2 linked regions of the Coturnix japonica genome follow. Each later gene encodes a partner of the first gene's protein in a complex. Links are inferred from orthologs where the notes say so. Each region holds a gene or a part of one and is shown in the gene's direction. Other genes may lie near its edges. The genes, in order: NCOA5 and ESR2.

Region 1 (3,911 bases):
TCCCGGTCCCGTTTCGGGCCGTGATCACGGAGCGCAGCGTTGCAGCCCCGGCCCGGCCCCGCTCCCACCCCGCGGGACGCCGCACTTACGTTCAGGAGCAGCGCGCACAGCAGCCCCAGACCGAGCCGCCCCATGGCCCGAGCCGCGCCCATCCGACCCGACCCGAATCGAACCGAGCCGTGCGGAGCCGGGCAGCCGATATTAACGCCTCGACCCGTTTCCGCCCAGGAAGGGGCCGCAGGGGCCGCCCATCCTGCAGTCACCGGGCTGAACGTCCCGAGACAAAGTCCCCACCGGCAGCACCCGCCGCCCCGGGACTTTCCCGAGCTTCAGAGCGTAACCGAGAGCCGTGCGGGGCCGGGGCTGTGCCCGCAGCTCCCCCGCACGGTGCGACCGGCCCGGCCGAGCTACGGGTGGATGTCAGCGTGTAACCGGCTGCTTCCTGGGTGAAGGAGGAGCGGCCGCAGGCAGGAATCTGCCCTGGGAAGCAGAGGAGATGTTTGATCTGGCCCCGACAGCTCCTTCCTCATGCAGAAGTGCGAGGTTTCACTTCACTTTTAAGAAGTCCACAGGGCCCTTCCGTGCTCCCCATGGGCTCCGGCATCTGCTTAGAGTTCCCAGAATCACATCAGCTCAGTACGGGAAGAGGCAGAAGCACAGCAGGGCCCTGAGGCTGCACACAGCCGGGCTGCCTGCCCTGCATCCCGCAGCAATCCCCGTGGAACTTCCCATCCCGTCCCCGTCAGACACTTCCCCATACACAGACGTGCAGGGTGCAGTGTGTGCTGCGGGGGGACTTACACAGTCCGTGCCATCCCAGCACATCATGCAGTCACACTGCACAGCCTCCAGCACAACGTTATGGTGCTGCCATGCTCCCGATGGGCACCACCGCAGGAACGGTGCAGCTCCCGGTGCTGCGGGTGTCTGGCTCCACAGCAAGGCCTCGCTCCGTCCCCAGCCCCAGCTGCATCCTGCAGGACCTGCATCCCTCTGGAGCCCCATGCTGTGCTGCAGCCATGTGCTCTGCATTGCCACCATGCTGCCATTACCCAGCAGCAATGCTGCCATAACCCAGCAGCAATGCTGTCATACCCAGCAGCAATGCTGTCATAACCCAGCAGCAATGCCGCCATTACTCGGACAGCGCCGCCCCGCGGCCGCGCCCCGCCGGACTACAAATCCCATGGTGCATTGCGGCAGCGGGGCATGCCGGGAGCTCAGCCTCCCTCTCTGGCAGCCATGGCGGCTCGCGTTACGTCAGCGCGTCGCGCCGTGCCGTAAAGCGCGACTGAGCGCCCTCCCTTCCGGCCGCTCTCACGTCCGCGCTTTGCGGCGGCGCCGTGCGACAGCGGCGGTTGGCGCCTTTGTCCTGGCGGGCGGCGGCCTGAGGCGGAGCGGGCCCGGTACGGCGGTAAGTGCGCGGCGGAACGCGAGGAGGGAGGAGCGGAACGCGGAGCTCCGCCCTTCCCGGGGCCGAAGGAGGCGGCGGGCGGCAATGGAGGGCAATGGAGGGACCCCGCGGCCGCTGGGAAGGGCCGGGCCGTGCGGCTCGGAGCCTCGCGGGGCGGTTCGGGTTCCGGGCGCCGCCCGTTTGCAGCCGGTGGGGGTTTATGGGTTCGGTGGTGCGGGGCTGAGCCGCGGTTTGTCTGTATGGAGTGACGGAGCTTCAGGCCCGCTAACACCTCTATCTCCGGGCGGGCCCTGCACAGCGGGGTTGGCCCCGGTCGGTGCTCGGGGTGGGGCAGTGAGTATCCAGGCACAGCATTGATATTGGGGTTCCATCCCAACGCCACCCCCACCTGTAGGAAAAGGACGGGAGTATTGAGGGTTTGTATGCAGGAAGGAAAACGTGCCCATGGCAAATGGGGCGCTGTGTGTGTCTGAGCACGGCCCGAACTGCTGACAGGGCCTTGAGCCCATCCTGGGTATAATAAATGTCCAGGTGCCCACCTGGCTGCTGTGTCCCACGTCCTGCCCTGCAGTGCTCAGGTTCTGTTCTGACCCTGCAGAGCGTTTGGTTTCTATCCCTGTAGGACCAGACCTAATGCCTGTGTAAAGGGAAATGGGGTGGGGGCTGCTGCTCTGGATGGAGTGGGTAAAGCTGTGTGTGTGCGTAGCAGGGAAGCAAACCTACAGGAGGACTGGAGTGAATAAGGTGTGTCAGCACCCATGTTTCCTATTGGTTTGTTGGGTGTTTCTGTTCCCTTCCTGTTCTAGAAGCTCAGTTCATATTGAAACAAAGCGTTGCAGTGGGTGATGATCTGTGCCTTCCTGGTTGTGGGAAGGAGGACAAGTGATACCAATGTAAATCTAACGCTCTTTTAAAATAAAAAAAAACAAAATCATAATCAAAATGGTATGTCTGTAATCCTGAACATGCTCATTTCTCATGCTGAGTGTGGTAGAAATACTCTTGTGGAACCATCTGATGCTCTTAGGTGTGTGGTGCATTTATGTAGGTGATGCTTTCAGATTGCAGTGAACGCAGGTTGTCGTTAGGGGCTGTGTTGGTTGGAGGCATCTCATGGCAGATACCGCAAGTCTCTATTGATTTACTCAACTTCACAGTACTTTATGTTTTTAACTTGAGTTCCTCCCTGTCCTGTATTTCTGCGATGGAAGGGATTGCACTTCACTCTTCAGATAGTTTTCAACCTTGTGGGTTCACCTTTTAATGGTGAGTCCTGGGGAAGGGGGGGCTCCTTTGTTTGGGCTACTGGGTGTTGTGGGTGGGTTTGTTTCCTTCCCAGTGTTATGCTGGAGCTGTTGCTGTTGCTGAATGCTGCTGCTGCCTGTAGGGCTGCTGATGTTCCCAGCTGTGGACCCGCCTGCAGTGGGAGGTGGTGTGGTGTGCTGTGGTGGTGGGGCTGCTCAATAGCAGAATGAATAAGAAACTGCTGTCCCCTATGGGAAAGGGATCCAAGTGTAGTCACTTAAGCACGTTTAAAAGTACCCTGTGACATCTCATTTAAAGCCCATCGAGAAATAATTGGATCCTGTTGTGCGATGTTGAGATGAGCGTTTCCTTTCTGCTTATTAACATACCGCTTAAACCTCAGCACTTCTTACCAGTGAACAGAAGAAAAAGATAAGACGATGGGTGTATCGGAAAGCTGCGTTTTCTTCAGTGAGAAATGAGTTTTAATTCTATTTTAGCTCACAGATAAAACACTAAAACACACCCATGAAGTAGATTAGGCTTCCTACCTCTCTGTATTACAGACAGCTCACCCCAGATGCTGCAGTGCACGTTCTTTGTCCACCTTCTGTGTCAGTTGTGTTAAGTTTTCTCTGGAGCGAAGCTTGCGTCAAACAGCCCCGGTTGGCTTCTAGTCTGCAAAGCTGTTAAGTTTAATCTTGTTCCAGTTTTAATTTGAATGTCGTGGATTGAAATGATATGCGTGGCCATTTCTCTTTTTTGCGAAGAGTTGGATTTGGAACGAAAGCAAAATGGCCCGAGGACGCAAGAGCAATAGCATCAAACAGAGCGACTTCACTAACAGCACCAAACCTCAGGATTTAGAGAGAAGACTTTTTATCGGCAATTTGCCCACAGACCACATGACTCGGGAAGAAATGGAAGAGATATTTTCAAAATATGGCAAAATCAGGGGTTAGTATTTTATCTTATGGCTCTTCGTGGCTGGGAATTCAGTCAGAACTATAACTGTCGTGCTTGTCAAATGCTGCTTGCTGCTGATGAGATGAGTGACTAATGCTTCCCCTCAAAAGTGACCTTTAAATGATAACTTTATCTGTTATCTAAAAGTAATTCTTAGAGTACAGCTGAAACCCAGTGCGTATATACCAGCATGCTTTATCTTTGGGGGCTGCGGTGCGATGTTATATCAAGCAAATCTGCTCTTTCAAGTGACTGCGTTGTCTCTTAATCAAGTCTTGGTCACTTT
Region 2 (3,811 bases), on another chromosome or scaffold:
CTTTGTTTGTAGAACAGAAGCCATTATTTCAACTGACAGCAAAACTCTTCCATTTATTTTTATTTAGCCAAAGGGGGAAAGAAATGCTCATTAGCCGTGGCTTTTCTTAAAAGCTTCACCTCTCAAAAAAACCCTTCTCCTCTCAAGGCTCTCCTTCCTTAGCAAGGTTTATCTGTTACTTCTGTTTTTCGGGGTGTTCTGGAGCTTTCTCCATCCATAAGCATCTTTGGGATTCTCTATCAAGAATACTAGCGAGAGTTTCCAGGCTTTCCTAGTGGCAGTTTCTTCTTTCTCCTCCCCACTCCCCTTTCTTCTGCTTTTGCTGACTTCTGAGGGGTCTCATGGTAGGCAGGTGCTGTCCTGTGGCACCATGGTGAGCTGTTGGGAGCCTACAGCGGTCAGTAAGAATAGCTGCTCTCCTCCTTCCCTTGGATTTACTTGGAGAAGAAAGGGGTTTCTTTTCAGCATGAACGAAACTAAAATGTATGGTGTAATGTGATTCAAAGGAAAAAGCCCTGGAGAATGGAGAACATGTCTGCTTCCCCACAGACAGAGAGCTCAGAGCTCAGTCTGACTGTGGAGTCTATGTTCAATGTGTTGTCTTGGGAGGATTTGGGAGAGTCAATCACTATGCAATCGATGCAGAAATCCAATTTGGATGAAGAAATACAAGCTGAAGCTTGGTGTGTTACATGCAGTGCTGTTTGCATTGTGTTGGGCTGTGTGAATGTGTGTCAGGAAATACAACTTTTCTTATCCTGTGAATTATTACATTGGAAGATGACCCATGGTCGTAGTTTTTTGTGCCTCACAAGCAGGATTTCTTTGTCTTCTCTGCTAGGCATGTTTCCCTTGTCAGCAGAAGAACCCGAAAGCAACAGGAAGCTGCACCACCTGCTCAATGTGGTCACAGATGCTCTGGTGTGGGTTATTGCAAAGAGTGGGATCCCTTCCCAGCAGCAAACAACTCGCCTGGCCAACCTGTTGATGCTGCTCTCCCATGTCAGACATGCAAGGTAAATCTTACAGGATGTGAGAGATATACCAGTTGTTTGTGTTTGCTTCTTAGAGTGACAGAGTCAGTCTAGAACTCCACAGTGCCCCTGAGGGATGCTCTTCATCTCTGTTTTGTAAGACTATCCTTCCTAGTATGGCTAAATAGGCAATGATCCCACACTCTGGCATAGTGATATGGTAGTGATACAACTGCAGAGATCTCAGTCAGCAAAGTGTCATCATAGCTGGCTGTATGACAGAAGAAAAGAGGATTCTTAAAGCCTGTAGTTATCTGCAAGATCTAACACTGGACATGCAGAGAGGAAGCCAACTGCTTGAAGTTAGCCACTATCATATGGTCTTCCCTCTCAGCCAGTTGGGAGACGTAGGTTGTTAATGTGGTGTGAATTCCCCTTTCATTTACAACTGCAGCACATGGGTCTCCCATGTCTATGGCACCAAAGAAGCTTTCTCTTTCATCTCAATAGGAGTGATACATCTGGATTATTTTCTGATGACAGTTTGGGTCAGAAAGCACAAATCTTGGTTCTCTAGATGGTAGATCACAGCCTGAGTGCATTAGGATGTTGTTACTGCTGTTAGCAGTAGGTGATCCCACAGACTGCAGCAGTTATGTCTCTTAACTCATAAAAAAGAAACTCCTGAAACCATGAGTGTTTTCCTTCTCTGTACTGTCAGACCTGCATCACTGACTTTATTTTCTCTGTTTTCCTTCGCAGTAACAAGGGCATGGAGCATCTGCTGAGCATGAAGTGCAAAAACGTGGTCCCAGTGTATGACCTGCTGCTGGAAATGTTGAACGCGCACACGCTCCGAGGGCAAAGAAAGTCCCCAGTCACACATCCTGACTTTGAACAAGTTTCACATTTCCAGGTCTGAACAGAACTACGGGGCTGCCCTGTAATGCAGGCTGTACCCAGCCTCCATTTACTGAAAGTTATGGGAGAAAACTAAGCTGCTGTGATGGGACTGCAGGAGCGTGACCTGGTGCGAGTCCTCATCTCTCCTAGATTTACTGTGGGATACCTTGGGAAAAGCTTGCGAGGCGCACACCTCTGTCTGTTTCTGACATTATAATAGCTGCACTTTTATAGTGCCTTCTGTGAGACTCTTAAAAGCACCTTATGAAATTAAGCCTCAGAACAGTCCTGCAAGACAGGGAATTATCGCCTCTCCTTTTTAAAAGCAACTGAGACAAAGAGATAAAGTGACCGGGTTGAGATGACAGAGGTCTGTGTCGGGGCCAGGGGTCAGGGCCTTGCTCTCTGTGTCCCAGCCCAATCCTTTTGAGCACTGACTAACTGATCTCCTTTCAGTGTGAGGCAGTATGAAATATACAGCAGCAGTGTTTGGGATGGATCTGCTTACCTGTGCGTGCTGGGCACTGGGGAATGCTGCTTTGCAGGTGATGTGCACAGTGTAAAGGAGTTTTCTTTGTTCTTAAATATGCAATGGCTGCGTGGGCCCTTGTTTGAGGGCCATTCTGAATAGCATCTTGGGCCAGTTCAGAGCCTCTTCAGAAATGTGAAACCAAGCTTACATTTGCGTTTTGTGAGCAAGTTCTTAACACCCATGTTATTACTTGTGTATAATTCCTCAGCGCTTTAAACCAGCACCAAACTGCCACCTTCTTTCAGTCAGTGCTGACCTTTGAAATGTGTTCTGTCTGTGGGATGCAGATGTTGTTTTATATATTTATTAACGATGTTGAATCTATTATAACGTTTAGGTACAAAAGGTTGCTCTGTGAACATTGTGTGCGTTCATATATGCTCTGCTAACCGGGGCTTGTGAGATCAGCGGGGAAACGCACTGCATTCCCTCCCGTTCTGACTGCCTGTGGGTCTGGGTCCTGCCCACCCCAACCTCACTGTAGAGGCAGGGGATGGGAGGCTGAGCAGAGCTGCTGCCCTCAGGTTTGCTGCTTGCTTGTTCTCCAAGTGTGTGACACCTGAAGCTGTTCCTTATTTTGTGCAGGATCCTTCAGAGGTTTGTTTCACAGGCGCGATGGCTCATTGGAGTTGAATGTCACTTGGGATGCAGGCTGAGGCCTCCCTGTAGTGCTGATTTCTGCATGTGTTTAAGACACCTTCTAAGGAAAATAATGCAGGGAAATATCACATCTGACCACCTCACCATTTGTTCCAGTCACTGCCAATATTGCATTTTGATGTGAGCTACGATTGCAGTTGCTATCAGTGGAGGCGTTTATAATACATGCATGTTCTTGGCATTGCAGGTGCGGTGACATTAAACTGGGACTACCCCCAAAAGTCCATTTTGAGCCTAAGTCTTTTGGATGAGGGACTTTGCGCCGTTCCCCCTTTGCATGCTTTGAGTTCCTTGCAGACCCTTCACCCTGGTGTTTTTTGAAGCCCGGGACAGTATTTTTATAGGAGGGGCATAAAGCACCATCAGAGAGTTGCACAAATTTCTTGTCTTGATTTTGATCTTGTACTATACGGGATGCTGCTGCTGCCTGGGTTTTTACTGGCTACCTTTCTATTGTTTTTAAGAGCTGTAATATAGCAGCGCCCTTCTCACCTATCTCATATTTACTACAAAAAGAAGAAAACAAAAAGGGAAAAAAAAAGTAAGTTCAGTTCTTGAATTCATTGGCTCCTTACTCATCTGGAGGGAAGTTTTGCTGTCAAATCACATCCTTGGGTGCCATCACCTCCCGGCCTCCCCACGATGTAGTTCTGTTCCTCTGGTTTTCCTTCTCCTGTGTGTTTGTTTTGTTTAATACAGCTTGTTTTCAAAGAAACACCAAAGTGCTATTTTTTGTTCTGCT

What was found.
Region 2: the proteins of NCOA5 (region 1) and ESR2 are in contact, whole or in part, in a crystal structure (PDB 4ZI1), measured with the Homo sapiens proteins. The link is inferred for Coturnix japonica from reciprocal best matches to the Homo sapiens genes NCOA5 and ESR2. Residues at the interface, in NP_066018.1 of Homo sapiens: Ser344, Leu345, Ile346, Leu348, Leu349, Ala350, Asp351; in NP_001428.1 of Homo sapiens: Ile310, Lys314, Phe319, Leu324, Gln327, Val328, Leu331, Glu332, Leu490, Glu493, Met494.

The regions. Positions count from the first base shown.
Region 1 is NC_029535.1:9,592,092-9,596,002, reverse strand, and holds the start of NCOA5 (nuclear receptor coactivator 5), read left to right. Parts: upstream 1-1,297; 5' UTR 1,298-1,414; intron 1,415-3,429; 5' UTR 3,430-3,453; coding exon 3,454-3,616; intron 3,617-3,911. UniProt on the Homo sapiens protein: Nuclear receptor coregulator that can have both coactivator and corepressor functions.
Region 2 is NC_029520.1:48,239,137-48,242,947, forward strand, and holds part of ESR2 (estrogen receptor beta), read left to right. Parts: intron 1-841; coding exon 842-1,016; intron 1,017-1,736; coding exon 1,737-1,896; 3' UTR 1,897-3,811.